3 linked regions of the Stegostoma tigrinum genome follow. The protein of the gene in region 3 interacts with the protein of the main gene of each other region in a biochemical or structural test. Links are inferred from orthologs where the notes say so. Each region holds a gene or a part of one and is shown on either strand. Other genes may lie near its edges.

Evidence for each region.
Region 1: of the proteins of ikbkb (region 3) and nuclear factor NF-kappa-B p105 subunit-like, one has a biochemical effect on the other in vitro, tested with the Homo sapiens proteins (4 studies listed by BioGRID and IntAct). The link is inferred for Stegostoma tigrinum from reciprocal best matches to the Homo sapiens genes IKBKB and NFKB1.
Region 2: of the proteins of ikbkb (region 3) and NF-kappa-B inhibitor beta-like, one has a biochemical effect on the other in vitro, tested with the Homo sapiens proteins (2 studies listed by BioGRID). The link is inferred for Stegostoma tigrinum from reciprocal best matches to the Homo sapiens genes IKBKB and NFKBIB.

Annotation. Positions count from the first base shown.
Region 1 is NC_081354.1:1,700,305-1,708,544, forward strand, and holds the start of nuclear factor NF-kappa-B p105 subunit-like, read right to left. Parts: upstream 3,207-8,240; 5' UTR 3,090-3,206; exon of another isoform or gene 2,975-3,089; intron 1-2,974.
Region 2 is NC_081392.1:14,791,057-14,799,759, reverse strand, and holds the start of NF-kappa-B inhibitor beta-like, read right to left. Parts: upstream 3,207-8,703; 5' UTR 2,986-3,206; coding exon 2,537-2,985; intron 1-2,536. UniProt on the Homo sapiens protein: Inhibits NF-kappa-B by complexing with and trapping it in the cytoplasm.
Region 3 is NC_081393.1:16,072,386-16,080,584, reverse strand, and holds the start of ikbkb (inhibitor of nuclear factor kappa-B kinase subunit beta), read right to left. Parts: upstream 3,623-8,199; 5' UTR 3,443-3,622; intron 3,333-3,442; exon of another isoform or gene 3,218-3,332; intron 216-3,217; 5' UTR 141-215; intron 1-140.

The sequences.
Region 1 (8,240 bases), on a different chromosome or scaffold from region 3:
GATAGGTTGCACAGACCGGGTTGGTTTCCCCTAGAGTTCAGAAGAGTGAGGAGTGACCTGATTGAAGTGTGTAACATCCTGGGTGGCATTGACAAGGTGAATGCAGACAAGATGTTTCCTCTTGTAGGTCAAATCAGAACTAGGGTGCATGAGATGAAAAATTTTGTTCTCTCTCAAACGGTTGACTTTGGAAGGCAATGCCTTAAAAATATTCAATGATGCAGAGTTACACTGATTCCCCTCCCTGACAAGAATGTCTGGTATGGGGAAATGTGAAACTCACAGCACAAACAGATCCATCATGATCTTGTTGAATGCTGAAACAGGTTTAAGGGCCGAATGGCCTATTCTTGCTCCCATTTTACAAGCTGGTATTTACCTACTTTGGGTGAATCATTGGCCTCATCCAATTTCCCATTTACATGCTGCTGCTCAGTGACATCATGTAAAAGTACAGTGTTCATTCTCACTATGTTCTCTGACAACCCCAGCTTGACCTCATCACCAGCTCTCAATTTTTCCACTCTCTCTAAACTGTCAGACTACTGAGTTAACATCCAGAACTGGATGAGCATAAATTCCCTTCAATTAAATATTGGGAAGTCATTGGCTGTAGTTCCTAGTCCAAACAATGTTTCCCAATCACCAACACCTCTCTCACCCTGACAACATTGTGGGATTAAGTCGGTCACAGCCGTGGTTTTTCATAAAATCCTGATTCTGACCTCTTACTTTGCACCATTACTAAGACCACTTACTACCAGCCCAGTAACATCCCTCAACTTCACCCTGTCTCAGCTCATCATTCATGAATCCCTCATGTTTAAACAATCACCTCTAGACTTTCTTAGCTGCTCCAATACACTCCTCATTGGTCCCCACATTCTATCCTCTGTGACCTTGGGGCCGTCCAAAACTCTGCTGTTCATGTGATAACTCTCAGTGGCTCCTGTTCCTTATCACCCCTTGGCTCCCTGACAAACTGGCCCCAGATTAAGCAACCTCTTTATTTTAAAATATCATTCTTGTTTTCAAATACCTAACAGCCTCATCCCCTCCCAATCTCTGTAACCTCCTCCAACCCCAGACCCCCTGCATTTCTCTAATTCTAGCCTCTTGAACATTCCCAGTTTTAGACGCTCTTGCGTTGGTGGCCATGCCTTCAAATGTCTGGACCATATACTCTGGAATGCCCTCCTTAAACTCTCAGCACTGTCTCATTTTCCACCTTCCACCAGATATTTCTCAAAACCCACCTCCTTGACCAAGTTTTCTGTAACCTAACCTAATACCTCCCAATGTGGTTAGCTGTCAAATTCTGCTTTGCAATACTCCTGAGGAGAACTTGGGATATTTTATTACAAAAGGTACTATTTATTCTTTGTTTCATAATCTTAATCTCCTATCTAATAAATATCTATTGATCACTGTTTTGAAATTTGTGACAGACTCTGATCTTGATCAGCTCTTTGTGGGGTACTTTTTCCCTTTGAGTGACAAAGTACTGCCTGACATCGATCTTACCCAGTGACCACCAACTCTGAGAGACAGGGCTTATTCTCTCTCACACACCAGCCTGATGCTACACAACCTAAAAACTCTCTATATATTGCAATAAACAATTGTTTTACTTTGAAGTACATGTGCTTATTTCTCAACCATTTTAATTAGCCTCAGTATCATTCATAGCATATCCTTGAACAAGCATCAACTAATCCACAAAAAATGCTAATTTCTAAAAATTACACCATTAGAACCAATTTATTTGGAAATATTACCTATTCCACAATTTGGCATTAACAAGAATCTCCACAGTTAACCCAACACTCACTTTCACTTCTTCATCTTCACATGGGTTGTGATGAATGAAACAGTGAAATATCACCATGCTTTAAGACACTAAAGAACAGCATCATAACAAGAATATACCTTTCAGAATCAGCCCCCTCACACTGCCCTGATCAAATAATTAACTCAGCTCAACATTAAGAGACCTACAGATTTCACCTTTCAACTATAACTGACCTGCCCTTCGGCTCTCTGAACCTTTTGTCGTTAGTTACAAAAGCTGGAATACAATGAACCATTTTGGACACCTTGCCTGTATAAAGATATAGAGTATTGGAGACAATCCAGGGAAGGTTCATTTGATTGGTCCCGGATATGGGGTGTGGGAAGACTGTCTGATGGGGAAGAGGTTGAGTAGGTTAGGCCTGTACTCACTAGCATTTAGTAGAATGTGAGGCAATCTTACAATCACACCGTCAGAGAGACCTATAGAACTAAACAAGGCATTTTGGTCCATGGAGTGGTTACTGGCCAAATAACCCTACTTTAATCCCATTTTCTGCACAAGGCCCAGAACCTCCTCTATCTTGGCGTCACAAGCACACATCAAAATATTTGTCAAATGTTATGAGGGTTTCTGCCTTTACCACACTTTCAGGCAATGCCAGACAAGATTTTTAATCACTAAGAGAACAAAGGGTTATGGGGAAAAGGCAGGAAGTGGAACTGAGGATTAGCAGGTCAGCCTGGTCTCACTGAAGGACAGATTAGACTCGATGGACAGAGTGGCCGACTTCTGGTCCTGCTTTTTATGGTTTTACGAATGAAGATCAACATAACTCATCATCAGCACATTAAACAGCCTGAGAGTCCGCTTGAAAGACAAGGAGAGACAGTCACACACTGAGAAAAGGGGATTTAAAAGGCGACAGCGCAGTGAGAAGGGGGGGTGAGACATTAAGGGAGGGAATTGAAGTAGGAGGAGGAATTGAGAGTGAGGGATTGACAGAGGATAAGGAAAGTGAGGGAGAGCCTCAGGCGGAAACTCGGGCCTTCCGCTGGTGTCGGCGGCCGCTCGGCACTGAAGCAGATGTCGAGGCGGACTGGGACTGAGGGAGAGGGGTAGGCTAACGGAGCAGTCACTCTGACCGAGTGAGGAGCGAACCATTCACTGGGTTTAACTCACCGTCAAAGCGAATCCTGCACCAGCTACAAAGTAGCAACTTCCAGCAACAAGCTATCAGACACAAGTTACAATGTATTCCCAACTCACAATCCACCGGCTCCGCGCCGCCACTCACCACTCCATACACCCGGCAAACTCTCTCCGCTTCCCGGGGCCCAGTGCTCCCCGGCTGGAAATTCCCCGCCCGCCTAGGGGCAACGGGGGGGAACTGCAGCCCCCTCACACCCCCTGGGGGCAACGGGGGGAACTGCAGCCCCCTCACACCCCCTGGGGGCAACGGGGGAAACTGCAGTCCTCTCACAATGCAACTGGGGGCAACGGGGGCGGCGAACTACAGCCCCCTCACACCCCCTGGGGGCAATGGGGGTCGAACTACAGCCCCCTCATACCCCCTGGGGGCAAGGGAGGAACTGCAGCCCCCTCACACCCCCTGGGGGCAACGGGGGGAAATGCAGTACCCTCACAGTACAACTGGGGGGGCGGCGAACTACAGCCCCCTCATACCCGCTGGGGCCAACGGGGGGGCGAACTACAGCCCTCTCACACCCCCTGGGGGCAACGGGGGGAACTGCAGCCCCCTCACACCCTCTGGGAGCAACGGGGGGAAATACAGCCCCTTCAGACCTCCTGCGGGCAACCGGGGGAAATGCAGCCCCCTCACAGCCCTCATGGGGGCAGCAGGGGATACTGCAGCTCCATCACTTCCACTGGAGGCAGCGAATGGAGCTACAGCCCCTTCAGATAACAAAGTGTGAAGCTGGATGAACACAGCAGGCCAAGCAGAATCTCAGGAGCATACAAGCCGACATTTCGGGCCTAGACCCCAGAGATGATGAAGGGTCTAGGCCCGAAACGTCAGCTTTTGTGCTCCTGAGATGCTGCGTGGCCTGCTGTGTTCATCCAGCTCCACACTTTTGTTATCTTGGATTCTCCAGCATCTGCAGTTCCCATTATCATTGATCCCCTTCACTCCCACTGGCGGCAATCGGGAAGTACTGCAGCCCCCTCACTCCCCCTAATCGCAACAGCGAGGAACTGCAGCCCCCTCACTACCCGGGGGCAGAAGGGAGGGGACCTGCAGACCCCACAAGCCCCCTGGGGGAAACAAGGAGGTCTTTGATCTTTTCTTACCCTGGGACAACCTGCGCGTGGGATCTCTATCTAGGGGGCGTTTGCAGCCCTGTCACTCCCCCTGGGGAGACGGCGGTACACCCCCGCCACACCCCAAACCCCTCACTCCGCCGGAAAACATGGGCGAGTGCAAATCCTTCACGCTTCCTCACAGTTACAGGGACTTCTTTCACTCTTTAATACCTCTAGTACAACCTGGGAATCTGCCCTTTCACCTTCACTTCCGTTTTGGGAACTTTAGTCCCCTGTATCTTCACCTTTGGAGCTTCAACTGTGACTCCAACACCCCCACTCCGATCCAGGAACAAGCTGGGAAACTGAACCCACTAGGCAGCACCCATCCAATAGGGAGAAGCTGGAGGCAGGGGACTAATGGCAGTGGGAGGTGTCTGCAATTCTCCTCGTTGCCCCCGGGGAAGAAAGGATGCTGCAGTTTCCCAGGTTGTTGCCGGGGGAGTACAGGGGTTGCAGATTCCCAAGGGGCCGAATGGATTGCTGGCTGGTTTCTAAACAACAAGCAAAGAGTTGGAGTAAAGGATAGTTTTCCCAGTGGCGGTTAGTGGCAAGTGCTGTACGAGGGCTAGTATTGGGCTCATTCTTTCCACAATTTACACAAACAATTTGGACAAACGAAAGTTTGATTCCAGTTTGGGAATTCCAATTTGCTGCATATATTCCTATTAATAAGAGATTTCTATTTGTGGGGAGCTCAAGACTAGGAACAATCTGTATAAGATAATGCGGCGCTCCCTCAGCAGTGACCCTCCGACTGTGCAGCGCTCCCTCAGCACTGACCTTCCGACAGTCCCCACTCCCTCAGCACTGACCCTCCAACAGTGCGGCACTTCCTCAGCACTGACCCTGTGACAGTGCAGGGCTCCCTCAGCAGTGACCCTCCGACAGTGCAGTGCTCCCTCAGCGCTGACCCTCCGACAGTGCGACACTCCCTCAGCACTGACCCTCCGACAGTGCAGTGCTCCCTCAGCACTGACCCTCCAACAGTGCGGCACTTCCTCAGCCCTGACCCTCCGACAGTGCGGGGCTCCCTCAGCAGTGACCCTCCGACAGTGCAGTGCTCCCTCAGCGCTGACCCTCCGACAGTGCGACGCTCCCTCAGCACTGACCCTCCGACAGTGCAGTGCTCCCTCAGCACTGACCCTCCAACAGTGCGGCACTTCCTCAGCACTGACCCTCTGACAGTGCGGGGCTCCCTCAGCAGTGACCCTCCGACAGTGCAGTGCTCCCTCAGCGCTGACCCTCCGACAGTGCGACGCTCCCTCAGCACTGACCCTCGACAGTGCGGCACTCCTTCAGCACTGACCCTCACACAGTGCAGCGCTCCCTCAGCACTGACCCTCCAACAGTGCGGCACTTCCTCAGCACTGACCCTCTGACAGTGCGGGGCTCCCTCAGAACTGAACCTCAGACAGTGCAGTGCTCCCTCAGCACTGACCCTCCAACAGTGCGGTGCTCCCTCAGCACTGACCCTCGACAGTGCGGCACTCCTTCAGCACTGACCCTCACACAGTGCAGCGCTCCCTCAGCACTGACCCTCCGACAGTGCCCGCTCCCTCAGCACTGACCCTCTGACAATGCAGTGCTCCCTCAGCACTGACCCTCCGATAGTGCCACACTGCCTCAGCATTGACCCTCTGACAGTGCGGTGCTCCCTCAGCACTGACCCTCCGACAGTGCGGCACCCCCTCAGCACTGACCCTCCGACAGTGCAGTGCTCCCTCAGCACTGACCCTCCAACAGTGCCCACTCCCTCAGCACTGACCCTCCGACAGTGCCACACTGCCTCAGCATTGACTCTCTGACAGTGCGGTACTCCCTCAGTACTGACCCTCCGACGGTGCGGCGCTCCCTCAGGACTGACCCTCAGATAGTGCGGCCCTCCCTCAGCTCTGACCCCCTGAGACAGTGGCTGAGGAAATAGTGGAGGCTTTGATTGTGATCTTTCAAAAGTCACTGGAGTCTGGGAAAGTCCCAGATGATTGGAAAATTGCTGTTGTAACCACCTTGTTTAAGAAGGGATCAAGACAAAAGATGGAAATTGATAGGCCAATTAGCCTAACCTCGGTAGTTGGTAATATTCTAGAATCCATTGTTAAGGATGAGATTTCTAAATTCTTGGAAGTGCAGGGTCGGGTTAGAACAAGTCAGCATGGATTTAGTAAGGGGAGGTCGTGCCTGACAAACCTGTTAGAATTCTTTGAAGAGGTAACAAGTAGGTGAGACCAGAGAAACCCAGTGGATGTTATCTATCCAGACTTCCAAAAGGCCTTTGATAAGGTGCCTCATGGGAGGCTGCTGAGTAAGGTGAGGGCCCATGGTGTTCGAGGTGAGCTACTGGCTTGAATTGAGTATTCGCTGTCTGACAGAAGGCAGAGAATTGGGATAAAAGACTCTTTTTCGGAATGGCAACCGGTGACAAGTGGTGACCCACAGGGTTCAGTGTTGGGGCCGCAGCTGTTCACTTTATATATTAATGATCTGGATGAAGGGACTGGGGACATTCTGGTGAAGTTTGCTGATGATACAAAGATAGGTGGACAAGCAGGTAGTACTGAGGAGGTGGGGAGGCTGCAGAAAGATTTAGACCATTTAGGAGAGTGGTCCAGGAAATGTCTGATGAAATTCAACATGAGCAAATGAGAGGTTTTACACTTTGGAAAAAAGAATACAGACATGGACTATTTTCTAAACGGTGAGAAAATTCATAAAGCAGAAGTAGAGAGGGATCTGGAAGTGTTGGTCCAGGATTCTCTAAAAGTTAACTTGCAGGTAGAGTCTGTGATTAAGAAAGCGAATGTAATGTTATTGTTTATCTCAAGAGGGTTGGAACATAAAAGCAGTGATGTGTTTCTGAGACTTTATAAAGCTCTAGTTAGGCCCCTTTTAGAATACTGTGTTCAATTTTGGGCCCCACACCTCAGGAAGGGCATACTGGCGCTGGAGCGTGTCCAGCGGAGATTCACACGGATGATCCCTGGAATGGTAGGTTTAACGTACGATGAATGGCTAAGGATCCTGGGATTGTATTCATCAGAGTTTAGAAGGTTGAGGGGAGATCTAATAGAAATTTACAAGATAATGTATGGCTTAGAAAGGGTGGATGCTGTGCAGTTGTTTTCACTAGGCGGGGAGACTAGGACCCGTGGGCACAGCCTTAGAATTAGAGGCGGTAAATTTAAAACAGAAATGAGGAGATATTTCTTCAGCCAGAGAGTGGTGGGCCTGTGGAATTCATGGCCACGGAGTACAGTGGAGGCCGGGACATTAAATGTCTTCAAGGCAGAGATTGAAAAATTCTTGATCTCACAAGGAATCAAGGGCTACAGGGAGAGAACAGGGAAGTGTAATTGAAATGCCCATCAGCCATAATTAAATGGCGGAGTGGACTGAATGGCCTTACTTCCACTCCTATGTCTTATGTTCTCATGGTCTTATGGACCCTGTGACGGTGCGGCAGTCCCTCAGTGCTGACCCTCAGATAGTGCAGCACTCCCTCAGAACTGTTCCTCTGACAGTGCGGCACTCCCTCAGCACTGACCCTCTGACAGTGCGGTGCTCCCTCAGTACTGACTCTCTGACAGTGCGGTGCTCCCTCAGTACTTATCCTGTGAGAGTTAGCACTCCCTCAGCACTGATCCTCCAACAGTGCGGCACTCCCTCAGCACTGACCCTCTGACAGTGCCGCACTCCCTCAGTACTTTCCCTCCGACAGTGCGACCATCTGTGAGCGTTGACCCTCCGACACTGTGGCACTCCTTCAGTACTGACCCTCTGACAGTGTAGTACTCCCTCAGCACTGACGTTCCGACAGTACAGCACTCCCTCAGGACTGACCCTGTGACAGTGCGGCACTCCCTCAGCACTGACCCTCCGACAGTGCGATGCTCCCTCAGCACTGACCCTCTGACAGTGCGATGCTCCCTCAGCACTGACCCTGTGACAGTGCGGAACTCACTGAATACCGACCCTCTGACAGAGCGGTGCTCCTTAGTACTGAACCTCCGACTGTGCAGTATTCCAATGTTACTGTGTGATCATTTAACTATAAACAAAGCTCCTTCAAATGATTGGAAATTAATGATATTCATTGATTATTGCACTGGAGTGACCTTTGTGG
Region 2 (8,703 bases), on a different chromosome or scaffold from region 3:
GTAGAGTGTGCCAAACTTAAGGAAATGTCACATGTTAATAGTTCCCTCATTGCAATCAACAAAGCTAAGGTTTATGTTGATACAGCTTGTTAATTATTGCCTCTCAAAAGAGTGCAAAGCCTTGCACATTCCTATCCACAAAATCTATGCACAGAAAATCTTGATTGACAATTCAGTGCAGGGCTGAGGGGTTCAACTCCAGAGATTACATCTTTATGATAAAATATTATACCAAGTCCCTAACTGCTTCCCCAACAGTGAGCACGTACAAGATCCAGGTAACTACTTTGAAGAAGCACAGGCGAGTTTATTTCAGTGACAAAAACAGAATTTGCTGAAAAAGCTCAGCAGGTCTGGCAGCATCTGCAAAGAAAAAGTCAGAGTTAACATTTCAGGTCCAATGATCCTATCTCAGAACAGTTCTGAGGAAGTCACTGGACCTGGAACATTAATTCTGATTTTTTTTCTTCACAGATGCTGCCAGACCTGCTGAGCTTTTCCAGCAAATTCTATCTACATTCCTGATTTGCAGCATCTTCAGTTCTTTTGGTTTTTATTGAGTTCATTTCAATGTCCTAATATGTTGCCTTCCACAAATGTCACTATAGCATATAATGAAGTCATCATCTCTGTTGTTTGTGGGAGCTTGCAGTGTGCGAATTAGTGCAATCTTTCCTACAATATGACAGATAATACATGTCACAACGCACTTAATTGATTATAAAACACTTTATGATTTCCCATGGCCATGAAAGGTGCTATACATATAAGAAACATAAGTATATATGTAATCTTAAATTTCAAAGTTCAGCGGGGAGGCTAATTATGTCTAAGGTGGTATTTGCACATCACTTGGAGATCACCAATCAGTGCTTTTTGCAGAAACGTCCTGCCATTTTGTCAATATAACACTTTAAATATAATCTACGAGCCGAGCATTTTGATGGGATGCTTGAGGACATGAGAAGTTGCTACATAAATACAAGTCTGTTCTTTATTTTGTTACCTTATCACCTTGCAAAACTTGACCAAAAACAGCTGCCTTGATAATCAAAAGGCAAATTCCTCATCGAGCTAAACAAGGCAATATTTGGAAAAAAAGCTCAGGCAAAGATCTATGTTTTAAAGAGATGCTTTTAAAAAAAAAGGAAACAGAAGTAGAGTAATGGAGAGGTTTAGAGAGGAAATTCCAGAGATTAGGGTCATGGCTGCTAATGGAAGAGTGATTTCAGAGCAGGGTTTTCTGTATATCAGATTATGTGAATCTCTGCAGTATTCTGTTTTAAAACTGATTTAATGTGAATGTGGCACTCCTCAAGACAAGGGATGTTTAAATTCCAGTAAATTTGTGCAGTCAAAATGAGTTTTAACTATTCCCAGAAAATACAAATGCAAGCTCCTCTACTCTGCCCAGAAACATGTCTGAGTCCCAAAACCATTTCCAACTGCATGAGAGTGACATTTCTGAGAGAGTCAATTTGCAGCCTCAACAAATGAGACTTTCATCAAAGGGAAGTCTGGTGCTGTGGACCTAGGAGAATGTTAAACTGAGACTGCCACATTTCACATAGGATCACTTTCACCAACAGCGATTAATTCAAACCCAGGTCACAGATGAAAGAAAAGACAGTCACCACATCACATAATAATTTTTAAAATGCTTTTTATTCAGTCACAGCAATGTGGGCATTGCTGGCTGGCCAGCATTTATTGCCCATATCTAGTTACCATTGAGAACATGGTGTTGGAGCTGCCTCCTTGAACTGCTGCAATCTGTTTAATAATAATTCTGTCTTTTAAAAAAAAAATCTTCCTTTGAATACTAAATTGTACATAAAGATATTGTACATCAGAAACTAAAAATTCTATTTGGGTTAGGTGTTAGAGATAGGACTGCCTCCAGGAATATATTGAGAGGGGAATTAAGCAACTTCAACTTCTTTCATCACCTCAGATTTCAAAGAACTGCGTGGAAACTTTCAAAGGGTAGTCACTGTATAATAGAGGTCAATGCAGCAGGTGTTTTACACACAGCAAGATCCCACAAAATAAACAATGGCCAGATGATCTTTTCCCTTGGTGGCAACATTGGCAGAGGAAGTAAAGTTGACTAGGTCACTACAGAGGACACTTCATGTTCTTCCTCCAAATAGCTCCATAAAATCCTTGAGTTAGCATCTCATCCAAAAAATGATACACCTTTGACACAGCAATGCCCTCTCAGTACTGCAATGGGAATGTCAGACTTGATTCTTGCGCTCAAGTCTTTGGAGTGAGGCTTAAACGCACCATCTTCTGATTAAGAGACACGTCTTTGAAATAGTGCCAGAATTTTTTTTTTGTATTCACCAGTCAGGTTTAATGACCTCATCTGAAAGTTGACAATGGATTGTTGCTGGTACTGGGCATACCAGCACATGGGCTGAAGGTGTATTTCTGCATCTGGTACTTGGGAATGATGGAACCAAGTAAACCCATACCCCCATGCCCACCCACAGTTGACACTTTATTACCCCCTCATGCAAGCGATACTCACGAGTCCAAGTCTTCGGTTCGGTAGTGGCGCAATTCCTTCAACTCATTCACTGCTTCTTGGGAACTTCCCAGCTCCATTCCCTGGGTGATCTGACCGGTGCCACTCAGTTTCACATCCTCGATGCCCTGGGTGATCTGGCTAACGCCACTCTCTGCCCACCGCTGGGTGGATAAGCAAATGTCTGGCTCAGTGCCCATGGACATGCCATCCTTGCCCTCCCCACCATCAACACTCTGGTCAACGCCACCCAACTCACTGAACTGGCTGACCTGCAGCTCACTGAGGGAGCCAATGCCACTGTCGTAGTAGTCATCGCCCTCTACCTCAGCGGGTAGCCCCAGGCTGTCCAACTTGGCCTGGCCACCCCACGGCGCGGCCACTTTACCAGTGCCCAGCTTGATCGTCTGTTTGGATGAGTTGCCATTTGACAGCTGCGGGACAACCTCCATGTTTTTTTCTCTGGACTCCCGACGTGATAATGAAAATCGCTCTTGAACACGATTCTAAAGGACGCCAGTCGACTCATCAGCGAAATCTATGAGGTAAAACCGCCATCCCTCTCGCCGCGGAGCAGCAGCTTTAACGGGAAAGTGAAAGAAAGACACGGAGATGAAACGGACGCCTCACCAAAAATGGCCGACGCCTTGTTTACCCTTTTGTCTGGTGGGAATTTCCCCCGCTAGGCCAGGGACCAATCGAATTGCGCTTTCCTGGCAGGTCCCTGTGAGGGAGACGACGTTGCCCATGCGCAGACGCTGCCCCCGCCGCAATGGCCTGTGGTAGTTGTAGTCCTGGCGATAGCAAGTCTTTAAAGACTGCAGTGCTGGCAGTCAGAGGCAACGGAGTGGGTGGCGGGGGGAGCCCAGCAAGTCAGGTAGTATTAGAGGGGTGGGAAAGTCAACGTTTCAGATCTGGACTCTTCATCAGGACTGTTGTTCGTTATCAAGGACAACAACAACTTGAGCAAGTTTCAGGCTGAGGATCTGGAAAGAAAGTGTTGGAGAAACTCAGCGGATCTGGCAGTGTCTGTGGAGAGAGGGACAGTGTTTTGCTTCTGTTATTCGCTGATGGCAGCGGTCATTGCCCATCCCTAATTGCCCCTGGAATGGACTGGCTTTATAAAGCCGTTGTAGAGAAGGTTAAGAGACAGCCCCCATTGCTGTGGGTATGGAATCATGAAAACAGGCCAGATCGGTTAAGGACAAGAGATTTCCTTCCCTAAAAGACAGATGGAATTTTATCCAGCAACAGACAGAAATTGCTGGAGAAACTCTGCAGGTCTGGTAGCATAGAACATAGAACATTACAGCACAGTACAGGCCCTTCGGCCCTCAATGTTGTGCCAACCTGTCATACCGATCTCAAGCCCATCTAACCTACACTATTCCATGTACGTCCATATGCTTATCCAATGACGACTTAAATGTACCTAAAGTTGGCAAATCTACTACTGTTGCAGCCAAACCGTTCCATTCCCTTACTACTCTCTGAGTAAAGAAACTACCTCTGACATCTGTCCTATATCTTTCACCCCTCAATTTAAAGCTATGCCCCCTCGTGCTCACCGTCACCATCCTAGAAAAAAGGCTCTCCCTATCTAACCCTCTGATTATTTTATATGTTTCAATTAAGTCACCTCTCAACCTTCTTCTCTCTAATGAAAACAGCCTCAAGTTACTCAGCCTTTCCTCGTAAGACCTTCCCTCCATACCAAGCAACATCCTAGTAAATCTCCTCTGCACCCTTTCCAAAGCTTCCACATCCTTCTTATAATGCGGCGACCAGAACTGTACGCAATACTCCAAGTGCAGCTGCACCAGAGTTTTGTACAGCTGCAGCATAACCTCTTGGTTCTGGAACTCGATCCCTCTATTAATAAAAGCTAAAACACTGTATGCCTTCTTAACAGCCCTGTCAACCTGGGTGGCAACTTTCAAGGATCTGTGTACATGGACACTGAGATCTCTCTGCTCATCTACACTGCTAAGAATCTTACCATTAGCCCTGTACTTTGCCTTCCGGTTACTCCTACCAAAGTGCATCACCTCACACTTGTCTGCATTAAACTCCATTTGCCACCTCTCAGCCCAGCTCTGCAGCTTATCTATGTCTCTCTGCAACCTACAGCATCCTTCGTCACTATCCACAACTCCACCGACCTTAGTGTTGTCTGCAAATTTACTAACCCATCCTTCTATGCCCTCATCCAGGTCATTTATAAAAATGACAAACAGCAGTGGACCCAACACTGACCCTTGCGGTACACCACTAGTAACTGGTCTCCAGGATGAACATTTCCCATCAACTACCACCCTCTGTCTTCTTTCAGCAAGCCAATTTCTGATCCAAACTGTTATATCTCCCACAATTCCATTCCTCCACATCTGTGGAGAGAAAGCGGACTTAATGTTTACAGTCCAGTGAGTCTCCTTCAGCAGTTTATTTGTGATACCACAGGCTGAGACTTTACTGGACGTGAAGGATGACCGTATAGAGGTTTATAATATCATGAGCTAAAGTGGATGGCAGGTGTCTTTTTTCTTAAGGATGGGGATTTCAAGACTAGGGTCTTTTAAGGTGAGAGGAAAAAGATCTTAAAAAGACATGAGAGCCAATCTTTTTAAACCAGTGAGTATTTTGTGTGTGGAATTAACCTCCAGAGGAAGTGTTGGATGTGGGTACAGTTACAATGTTTAAAAGGAATAAGTACATGAATAAGAAATGTTTGGAGGGATCTTGTTGGATGTATAGTTGGTTTGTTGGCATTATGGTGGCATGGACTAATTGGACCGAAGGTCTTTTTTTTAACCTTTATTGATTTGCGGGATGAGGGAGTTGCTGACTAGGCAGCATTTATTGTCCATTCCTAATTGCCTAGAGGGCTGTTAAGAGTCAACCACATTGCTGTGGGTCTGGATCACATGCAGGCCAAACCAGGTAAGGATAGCAGAGATAATAACCAGATGCTGGAGAAACATTGGCAGTTCCTATTATCTCGATACAATTTTAACCACACCTTGTTATCTCAGATTCTCCAGCATCTGCAGTTCCTGTTACCTCTGATACAATTTTAACCCCACTGTGAAGCCTCTTCAAAGGATGCCTACCCTGAAGAAGTTATCCTCCTCCCTCCGGACAAACCTCAGGGGATCTCTCTCCCACTGCAACTTCTTCTCTATCAATCTTCTATCCACTTCCCCCTCTCTCCCTATTTATTTCAGAACCTCCTTCCCCTCCACCATTTCTGATGAAGGGTCTAGGCCCAAAACATCAGCCTTCCTGATCCTATGATGCTTCTTAGCCTGCTGTGTTCACACAGCTCTGCACCTCGTTATCTCAGGTAAGGGTGGCAGTTTCCTTCCCTAAGGAACATTAGTGAACCAGATGGGTTTTCCACCAAAGAGAATGGATTCATGGTCATCATTAGACTTTTAATTCCAACTATTCATTGAATCTAAATTCCACCATCTGCCGTAGCGGATCCAATCCCAGGTTGTGCTTCTGCGATGCTGCTTGGCCTGCTGTGTTCATCCAGCTTCACACTTTGTTATCCCCAGAAAGTTATCTGGGCCTCTGGATTAACAGTCCGGCAATAATACCATTAGGCCATTGCCTCCATTTTCCATGTTGTATGACTATTTTCAGCATCCATAGTTCTTTGTTTTATTTTTGGGTTTTTGCAGCAATCAACAATGATAGTCACTCAGCTGGCTTTTAAAGTTTTCGTTGAAATTTCACCATCAGCCAATTTAGGATTAAGTCTGCGTCCCCCAGAACATTAACCTGGGTTACTGTGCTTGGCCAGTACCACTACTGTGCTTCACTACTGAGTGCTACTCTAGTTGAGTAATGTGTCCATGCTCACTGTCGCTGACTCCCACATTTACATGTACAAATTCAAGAGTAGAGTCTGGGATTATTTCAAATTTTCAAACTCGAAGGTTGGAGAAATGAGAATTGTATTGAACTTTGTGAGATCCTGAAGGAACTTGATTGGGTGGATGCTGAAAGGATATTTGTCCTAATGGGAGTGACTAAAATTAACAGATACAGTTTTAAAGTAAGTATCTTGCACTTAAGATGGAGTTTAACAGGATTATTTTCTGAGTTTCATTAGTCTGTGGAATTCACTTCTCGCAGAGAGGTTGGATACAGGTTCATTGAATTTAAGACAAAGGTAGATAGGTTTTTGACTAACAAGGCAGTTAGAAGTTATTGGAGGGTGGGAGGAGATAGAACTGCAGAGTTGAGCCCACAATCAGATCAGCCAATGCTGAACGCTGGAGCAGGCGTGAGTGGGCCAAATGACCTACTCCTGATTCCTGTGTTCCTGTTGTTAAGAACAGATGAGGAAACAGCTGTCCATTTTGTCAGCCCATCTCATTCAGCCACTAGAAATATCTTTCATTTTTCATTTAGCACACAGCCATGACACTCCGATTAAAATGTAATTCACTAGAAAATGGGAGGAAGAATTATCAAGATTATCTTGAGTGAAATAAAGAGCCATTCTATTATCTACAAACCCAGAGGAAAAAAAAATGCAATATTAAACACAAACTCAAACAAAGATAATAGATTTAAGAGTGATGGAGAGGGTATCTACTGTCTATAGGAAGATATTCAGATGCAGTTTAAATTTCTTAGGGACCTCTGGTTGTAAGAGTTAAACATGAGTGTATGACTGTTTAACTGTTGTCTTTCTTCCTCAGTCATAATGCCATTTGTAGAATCCTGGAATTGTTAGTGAATGGTTGTTTTTCCAAAATTCCCAAGAGATGTTAAGGATTGGGGAGAGAGGTGGGAGCAGGAGGCAAAAGAGAGAACAAACCTTCCATGTTCTGCAATTCGGAATCCAATTTCCTTCTCCTTTGCTGCTCAAAAGCCCCTGAAATAGAGTCTATCTGTGTATTTGTGAGTCTGCTTTCATTGTTTATTTAAGTTGGATAGTTGCAGGGAACACTTTTATGTTCAAATGGTGAAAAGTAATATTCAAGTGTGAATTAAACAGTAGATCCAAACTTCTTGACTCTAACTCGGTTGTCTGATTTCAATTATTTTAGATTAAGCAGAATTTCAATTTTGCCAATTTTATGTATTCTGAATGGGTTCCCTGGACTTGCCACAATCTGTAGTCAGGTGACAACAACAGCCATTTTAAGTCAGTATTTCTGTTTTAAAAATCTTTTTCGTTATAAGGGTCTCAGCTATTACGAACGTGGTGGAAGTTGAGCATTGATAGTTCATGTTTACCATTATTGTGACACTACAAGTTTTCCCTCTGCTGAGTCTGAAATTGAGAAGTAATCGTAAGATCACAGTTATATTTTAGGCTTGAGACATATCATAATATCAATGGGACAAACTTCAGAAAATCATGTGGCATTTTTCATGGTTCACCTTTCCCCTATTTCATATGTGGTCAAATACTGACATGCATGTTACAACTGTGGGATTTTGTAATCTGTTTACAAGGTCATCACTATTCTGTCAAACACTGTTGTTAATTTCTGCAGATGTAGAAGTACAGTCCTAGGGTTTTTGTGGCACAGTGGCAATGTCCTTACTCCTGATCCAGAAGGCTTGGATTCAAGTCTTACTTGCTCCAGAGGTGTGTCATATTACATCTGAATGGTTGATTAAAAGTATTGAAGGGGTCATGCAGTGCAGTGGCAGTGTCCCCACCTTTGAGCCAGAACACGTGGGTTCACATTCCATCTGCTCCTTTTGTCTAGGGGCTCCTGTGGTACAGTAGCATTGCACCCAGCTCTGGGCCAGGAGGCCTGGGTTCAAGTCCCAGCTGCTCCAGAGGTATATTACAACAGAATGTTGATAAATCACTGAGATCTGATCAAATGTATCCCAGGATGTTGTGGGAAGTTAGGGAAGAAATTGTCGGGCCCCTAGCCGACATATTTGTATCATCTACAGCTATGACTGAGATGCTGGAGGACTGGAGGGTGGTTAATGATGTATCTGTATTTAAGAGATGCTGTAAGGAGAAACCTGGGAACTATAGACTGATGAGTTATTGTTGCACCATAGGGCACCATAGACCGGTGACCAGTTGTTGAAGCGGATTCTGAGATAGGGTTTACATGCATTTAGAGAGGCAAAGACTGATTAGGAATCATCATAACAAAGTGTGAAGCTGGATGAACACAGCA
Region 3 (8,199 bases):
AAATACAACAGTACTTCTGTGTGCTAGGCAGGACTCCAACTAATGGAGCGTGCTCATTAAATGCTTTTTAGGAAGGGGTCCTTGATGTAATGCTTGGTCATATGCTGCGTTAATGTCAGGAGCAGTCATTCTCAACTTACCTTTTGAATTCAGCCCTCATCAGTGTTTGGAACAAAGCTGCAATGTGAACAGAAGCCAAATGCCCTGGCGGAAACCTAACGAAACATTGGTGAGAGGGTTATTGGTGAGGATGTGGTATCTGAAAGCACTGTCATTGAATCATTGGGCAGCACAGTGTCTCAGTGGTTAGCACTACTGCCTCACAGCACCAGGGACCTGGGTTCAATTCCACCCTCTGGCGTTGTCTGTGTGCAATTTGCATGTTCTCCCTACATCAGTGTGGGTTTCCACCAGGTGCTCCGATTTCCTCCCACAGTCCAAAGCTGTGCTGGTTTATTGGTGTTCAGGGCTGTGTAGATTAAGTATGTTAGCCATGGGAGATGCAGGTTCTTAGGGTAGGAACATGGGTCTGAGTGGGACGCTTCAGAGAAGCAGTGTGCATGTGTTAGGCCAAATGCCCTGTTTCCACATTGTAGTGATTTTATGAAATTGAAAATGATTGCACAGCCATTTAGCTCATCAAGTTCATGACAGTTCCTGACAAACAATCCAGTTATTCCTATTCCCTGTTCCTTAACAAGCATCCTCAATCTTTGCTCCAAGTAATTCTGCAGTTCACTTGTGCAAAAAATATTGATTCTGTTTAAAGCAGCCCAAGACTATTCATTCCAAACCCAAATCAGTTATTGCAAAATAACTTTTCACTGTGTTCTTTTGTTAGTCACCTTGAACTTGTGCCACGTGGCTACTGAATCTTCAACCTCTTTCTTTAAAATTTACATAGAACATAGAACATAGAACATTACAGCACAGAACAGGCCCTTTAGCCCACAATGTTGTGCCGACCATTGATCCTCATGTATGCACCCTCAAATTTCTGTGACCATATACATGTCCAGCAGTCTCTTAAATGACCCCAATGACCTTGCTTCCACAACTGCTGCTGGCAACGCATTCCATGCTCTCACAACTCTCTGCGTAAAGAACCTGCCTCTGACATCCCCTCTATACTTTCCACCAACCAGCTTAAAACTATGACCCCTCGTGCTAGCCATTTCTGCCCTGGGAAATAGTCTCTGGCTATCAACTCTATCTATGCCTCTCATTATCTTGTATACCTCAATTAGGTCCCCTCTCCTCCTCCTTTTCTCCAATGAAAAGAGACCGAGCTCAGTCAACCTCTCTTCATAAGATAAGCCCTCCAGTCCAGGCAGCATCCTGGTAAACCTCCTCTGAACCCTCTCCAAAGCATCCACATCTTTCCTATAATAGGGTGCCCAGAACTGGACGCAGTATTCCAAGTGCGGTCTAACCAAAGTTTTATAGAGCTGCAACAAGATCTCACGACTCTTAAACTCAATCCCCCTGTTAATGAAAGCCAAAACACCATATGCTTTCTTAACAACCCTGTCCACTTGGGTGGCCATTTTAAGGGATCTATGTATCTGCACACCAAGATCCCTCTGTTCCTCCACGCTGCCAAGAATCCTATCCTTAATCCTGTACTCAGCTTTCAAATTCGACCTTCCAAAATGCATCACCTCGCATTTATCCAGGTTGAACTCCATCTGCCACCTCTCAGCCCATCTCTGCATCCTGTCAATGTCCCGCTACAGCCTACAACAGCCCTCTACACTGTCAACGACACCTCCGACCTTTGTGTCGTCTGCAAACTTGCTGACCCATCCTTCAATCCCCTCATCCAAGTCATTAATAAAAATTACAAACAGTAGAGGCCCAAGGACAGAGCCCTGTGGAACCCCACTCACCACTGACTTCCAGGCAGAATATTTTCCTTCTACTACCACTCGCTGTCTTCTGTTGGCCAGCCAATTCTGTATCCAAGCAGCTAAGTTCCCCTGTATCCCATTCCTCCTGACCTTCTGAATGAGCCTACCATGGGGAACCTTATCAAATGCCTTACTGAAGTCCATATACACCACATCCACAGCTCGACCCTCATCAACTTTTCTAGTCACATCCTCAAAAAACTCGATAAGGTTTGTAAGGCATGACCTACCCCTCACAAAGCCGTGTTGACTGTATTTGATCAAGCCATGCTCTTCCAGATGGTCATAAATCTTATCCCTCAGAATCCTTTCTAACACCTTGCAGACGACAGACGTGAGACTTACCGGTTTATAATTGCCGGGGATTTCCCTATTTCCTTTCTTGAAGAGAGGAATTACATTTGCCTCTCTCCAGTCCTCAGGTACGACTCCAGTGGAGAGCGAGGATGCAAAGATCTTCGCAAGTGGCGAAGCAATTGCATTTCTTGCTTCCCAAAGCAGCCGAGGACAAATCTGGTCCGGGCCTGGCGACTTGTCAATCTTAATGTTTGACAAAATTTTCAGCACATCAGCTTCCTCTATCTCTATCCATTCCAGCATGCACACCTGCTCTTCAAAGGTTTCATTCACTACAAAGTTCGTTTCTTTCGTAAAGACAGAAGCAAAAAACTCATTTATGCAATGTTTAACAGTTTCAAATAACTCTATCTAATGCTCTGTTCATTTTCTGTGCTGATAACAATGACAACTGATGACACATTCCACCAATTTATCAACAATCAAGAGGAGATTGATGGGCAATTGGGGGTAGGGTGGGCATCAGGTGTTGTAATTGGCCGAGTTGGTTTGTCTTGCTCTTAGCGCACAAGACATAACTGGACAATTTTCCACACTGTCAGTGTAGCAGCTGCACTGGAACAGCTAATGACAAAACACAAGTGCTTAGTACTCTTGTTAGAATATTGACAGTGCCCACAGCTCTGGCTATAACAATGCCTTTTGCGATTTCCTGATATTGTACAGAGAGACAGGAATGCATTGGTTGACAGAGATACCATATTTACTGATGTGGATGGCTTGGCAGACTGAGAGACAAGGGCACACTAACAGAATGAGATTCAAAAACACAATAGTAGACTGAGACACTGACACACTGGCAGAGTGAGACACTGACAGATAGGGTCACACTGGTAAATTCGGGCTCAGAAAATAATTGGCAGATGGAAACTCGGGGAGACACTGGCAGACCGAGAAGTGTGGCCACGATGCAATCTGAGATTATGGGAATCACTGGCTGACTCAGATAGGACACACTGGTGGACTGAGAGAGCAACTTCCTGTAACCCGTCCCTCTAGATATGCTGAATATGAAGTCAAGACAAGCCAATGAGTTCTTTGACCGGTTTCCCTTGGGTAATTACGGTGAGAGATGATTTTCTCCAATGACTTGCAGCAAACCCACGGTAAAGTGGAGATTTAGACAGACGCTAGGAAAGGTAAACGGGTCGCGGGGCGGGGGGAAAGTCGCTTACCCAAGGCACGCTGCGGGCTGGGGTCTTTCTGTGTCTCTTCTTCACTCTTTCTAGAAACTTCAGAACAGAGAATTTGGATTTGATCCTTTTACAAGGTGGTGTTTCTGCCGCCCTCCTCGAATTTACCCCAGAATGTTTGTAATTCTCGCCAAACTCAACTTCCGGGTTCTTGCCCGGGGGGGAAATGTCATCACATGGTCCAGGTTAGCGCACCCTAGCAAACTAAACTAATCCGGGTTAAATTCAGTAGCTAGCTTTAAGTAACCCGTTTCATTTAAAACAACCCTAGCTAACTAAATTAGCCTATATTAACTAATCCGGGATAATTATTTAACCAATCTGGTTAGTTTGTACCAAATTTGGCAGACTAAAATCATCCCGATGAGCTAAATAAAATCAGGGGAAAAAAACTGTGGGTGCTGGAATCAGAAACAAAAATAAAAATTGCTGGAAAAGCTCAGCAGGTCTGGTAGCATTGTGGAAAATTCTGGTTTTAATCCTGATTGATTAACCTTGGCTAATAACTTTATTCTGGATTAATACAACAAATCCAGGCTAACTGAACAAAAACTGCATTGAACTCTGCATTCAAGCTCAATTCAAGCTGTTTTAACCAAGACCAAACAAACTCATCTGCAATAACTAAATTACTGCTCTGGTTTTGGTAACCTGGGCTACAAGAATTAATCCAGGTTAACTGAATTAGCCCAATCCAATTGTAACGAACTACATTAACTCAGTAGAGATAAACGCACCCGGGGTTATCTGAACTGACACTGGCCACTGCAATCAACTATTCCTGGGTAACAAACACTTGGCTGGAGGTAAATTTTTAATGTTTGTGAACTTTCTGAAACAGCGCGAATGTAACATGTTCAGTGTGAGCACTGCCATGTATCTCCTACTAAATTCAAATTTACAGGCCAGCATTACTATTATAGGAGGAAGAAGTGCTCAGGTTAGATATCTGACTGCTGCAAGGCCTATTCAGTCACCAATGAAACAGCGTGGAGCTGGAGGATTATAGCAGGTGTGGCAGCATCAGAGGAGTAGGAAAGCTGAAGAAGGGTCCTGGCCCAAAACATCAACTTTCCTGCTCCTCCGATGCTGCTTAGCCCGCTTTGTTCCTCCACCTCCACACTGTGTTATCTATGACTCCAGCATCAGTAGTTCTTACTATCTCTGTTCAGTCACCAGTTTGATTGAGGAGTTAGTTAACCCCAACGTGCAATCTCCCAAGTTTAAACTGGGACAGGCACAGCCTGGTTAGCTCCCCCTACACTGCATACCACCTGATTGAAACATTACTGTTTCACGGTTGTAGTTACCACAATTATTTTTCTTTATCCCTTTCTGGGATGTGGCCACTGCTGGCAAGGCCATTACTTATAGTGTATCCCTAATTGATTTGGAACAGTGTGGTTTGTTGGGCCATTTCAGGGAGCACTTAAGTACTGACCACATTGCTATGAGTTTGGAATCTTACGTAAGCCAGATGAGGTAAGAATGGCAAATCTTCTTCCCGAAAGGGCATCAATGAATCAAACAGGATTTTGCAATAATCACTTGATTTCCAGCATCCAAAGTTTTTTGTTTTCTTTTAAATCATTGATAGTAGTCGTGGACCCCATTCCATTGAGTTTGTCTTTCGGCTGAGAGCATTCTCCTTTTGCCAGTCTGTTATCTCCATGTCATTCTGCACATGCATCTGTTGGGGAGGAGGAGATATCAATTATTCACCCAAAAGCCTTTAAATTGTGCAGATTACATCTGTATAGAATATATGCACACGGATAATATGCTTTGGAGGCCGAGAATACTGAGATATTAGCATCCTTAACAACCCACCTAAATCACACTAGAGATGCTACACAAACCATTCCTTAGTGCAATGTAAGAATAACTACCATTGCAATGATAAATGTGTGGATGTTCCTCAGCTGCCTGCATGATCTGGACAGATCCAAACCACCGATCTGTAGAGGTCATTCTGCAACCAGAAACAGAAGAGGATGTTCTTTATTCTCTTAATCAGATGCTGTGTTCTGATCTGAAACAAAGAAACCAAATTAGCAATCAATGTATTTGACAATCAAGTAGTTTATGACTGGGGCTGATGAGGGGCACTGGGATCATACGGTGGTAAGTATCCTGTGCAGTGACTGCAGCGACCTCAGTTTGGTTGAAAACCACATCAAGTAGCTTATCCTATGTGCAGCTCAGGAGTCAATCCTGGACATAGCAGTTGAAGTCTAGCAGCAGATGCATTCTGAACAATTGGTGAGAAATTATGTCTCTTCCAACTCAAGTCAGGGACTCCATCAACACAATGCCACAAGGTGGTGTAAATTAACAGCTGAGATGATATTCTAAGAAGCTGAAAAACTTGGCATCAACAATGGCATGGAGGGGTTTGGTTAAAGAGGTGGAATATGGCTTTAAAGGAAGAAGCGAGAGAGGTGCAAAGGGAAGAAATTCCAAACCATAAGGCCTTGAAAACTGGCTTTTGAAAGAGAAAAGAGAGATGTATCAGTAGTAAATTTCTGAATTTAAGTTGAGAACAGCTGAAGTCAAGTCTGTCCATGGTGAAACAAAAGGAGGAGGAGGAGATGAACGTTTTTGGCAACTAAATTCCATCAGACTCAAGGGATAACAAGGTGTAGAACTGGATGAACACAGCAGGCCAAGTAGCATCTTAGGAGCAGGAAAGCTGATGTCTCAGGCCTAGACCCTTCATCAGAAGCTGAAAAAGGACCCTCCATCAGACTCGAAGTTGCTTCCTGATTTATTGAAAAATATTCAAGATATCATGCTGGATTATAATGGTGATAGCAATAAATCAAGTAATCAGTGTTAGTAACTTCTACCTACAGTAAAATTAGTTAACTTTCTCTTTGAACCAGTGGATAACCAGTATCTCTGAGTCACAAGCTTTGAGTGTCAGTTCTATACCAGGTGATTGAATGCTTGGAGATCCCCTCATATCTTCGTGGTTTTCATTGTTCCGCACCCAACCCTTGGAAAGCCAGACCACTACAAGGTGTGGCTGACAGCTGTGCTGTAGGTACACAATGTAGTAACGTTTTAACACACACATCCCCAATCTCATTCCTGACCATATTAAGCAGAGAAATGTTGGACTTGCATTGTCTGCAATTTGAAATTGTGATTAACATGTCAATGTCTGATCAATGAGTTGCTAAGACTGCTCATAATACAACCATTTCCCCTTCTTCTATCCCATCTCTGGTAACCTATTAACTAGCGCAGTGATTGGTAATAGTGCTGCAGGAATATTGAGAGAGAGCAGAATGAGGTGACAGGAAGATAGAGGATACACAGGGAGGCTGCAGTGGAGATAGAATGCAAGAGATGTGGGCATGGGGTTTATCCTCCAGAACAAAGGCCTCAGTGCCAGAGAAGAATAAAAAGGGAAAGCTATTCCTCCAAGCTATAGAGAGAGCCCACTGACTGTCAAGATCTCAGGACTGCAGCGTTATCAGTTCAGTTGGTAGCCATCTAGCTGCTGAGTTAGAAGGTTGTCTATTCAAGTTCCAGCAGCTACAGCAAAAGTACTTAGCTGATTTTCCATTGCAGTACTGAGGGAACACTGCACTGTCGAAGTACAGTCTGGGGGAAATCACTATAATGTCAGAGGGTCAGCTTTGAGGGCTTGCTTCACTATTGGAGGAGCAGAATTAAGACAGTGTTACACACTTGGGGCATCAGTACCTGAATAACTCTGCACTGTCAAGGGCAGTATTAAGGGTAATCAGCCAGCTGGAGTGACAATATTGAAGGAGTGCTGCACTATTACAGGGGCAGCGCTGAGGGACCACTCAACTCTGATAAATGCAGAAACAGAAATATGGGGCCTGGTGCTGCTCATGGCTTAGATCTCCAACCTTGGCCCCATACCTAGCATGAGCCAAGTGACCCTGCCCACAAGTTAAGCACAACTATCCCATCCACACCCCCCAACGCAAGCTCAACAGACCCCAAAAGTTTCCGACTCCAGTTATTGAGCCCTGATGTGCCTTTGTCCTCAGCCCTGACCAGTACCTTGGGAATGGTGCCCTATCAGAGTAAAGTATTGAGAGACCGATGTTGCAGGAACAGTGTAAGAGAGTGTTGCAATCTTCCAGGAGCGGGATTGAGGGAATGTACCATGAGGACTGAACTTTGGGAGGGGCTTCATTAAGGGATTGCTATACTGTTGAAGTAAAGGTCTGAGGGAGCATTGCGGAAGTATTGCACTGTTGGAGGGTAGTACTGAGACACCATTTCTTTGTTGCAGAGACAGTACTGAGGGAGTGCTACACTGTTGGGAGGTTAGTTCTGAGAAAGTGCTGCACCACTGGATGGTCAGTTTAGAGGAAACATTTCATTATTGCTGATCAGCACTGATGGAGCCTTGCACTGTTGCAAGGACTGGACCGAGGGAAAAATTGCACTGTTGGATGCACTGAATTTTGGATGAAACGTTATCTCGAAGTCCCATTTGTTCTAACATATGGGTGAGAATCCAAGGCATTGTTTGAAGAAGAGCAGGATGTTCTCAACAACCAGAACTTTAATTATCCTTCATCCAACATCCCTAACAAAGACATCTGACTGTTTAACTTATCGCTGTTTGTGAGGGCTTGCTTTGTATTTCCTACATTACAACAGTATTGAGATTGTAAAACTACTTAATTGGCTGGAAAGAGCTTTTGAGATGTCCTGAAGTGGGAAAAGGCATTGCGGAAATGTGAAAT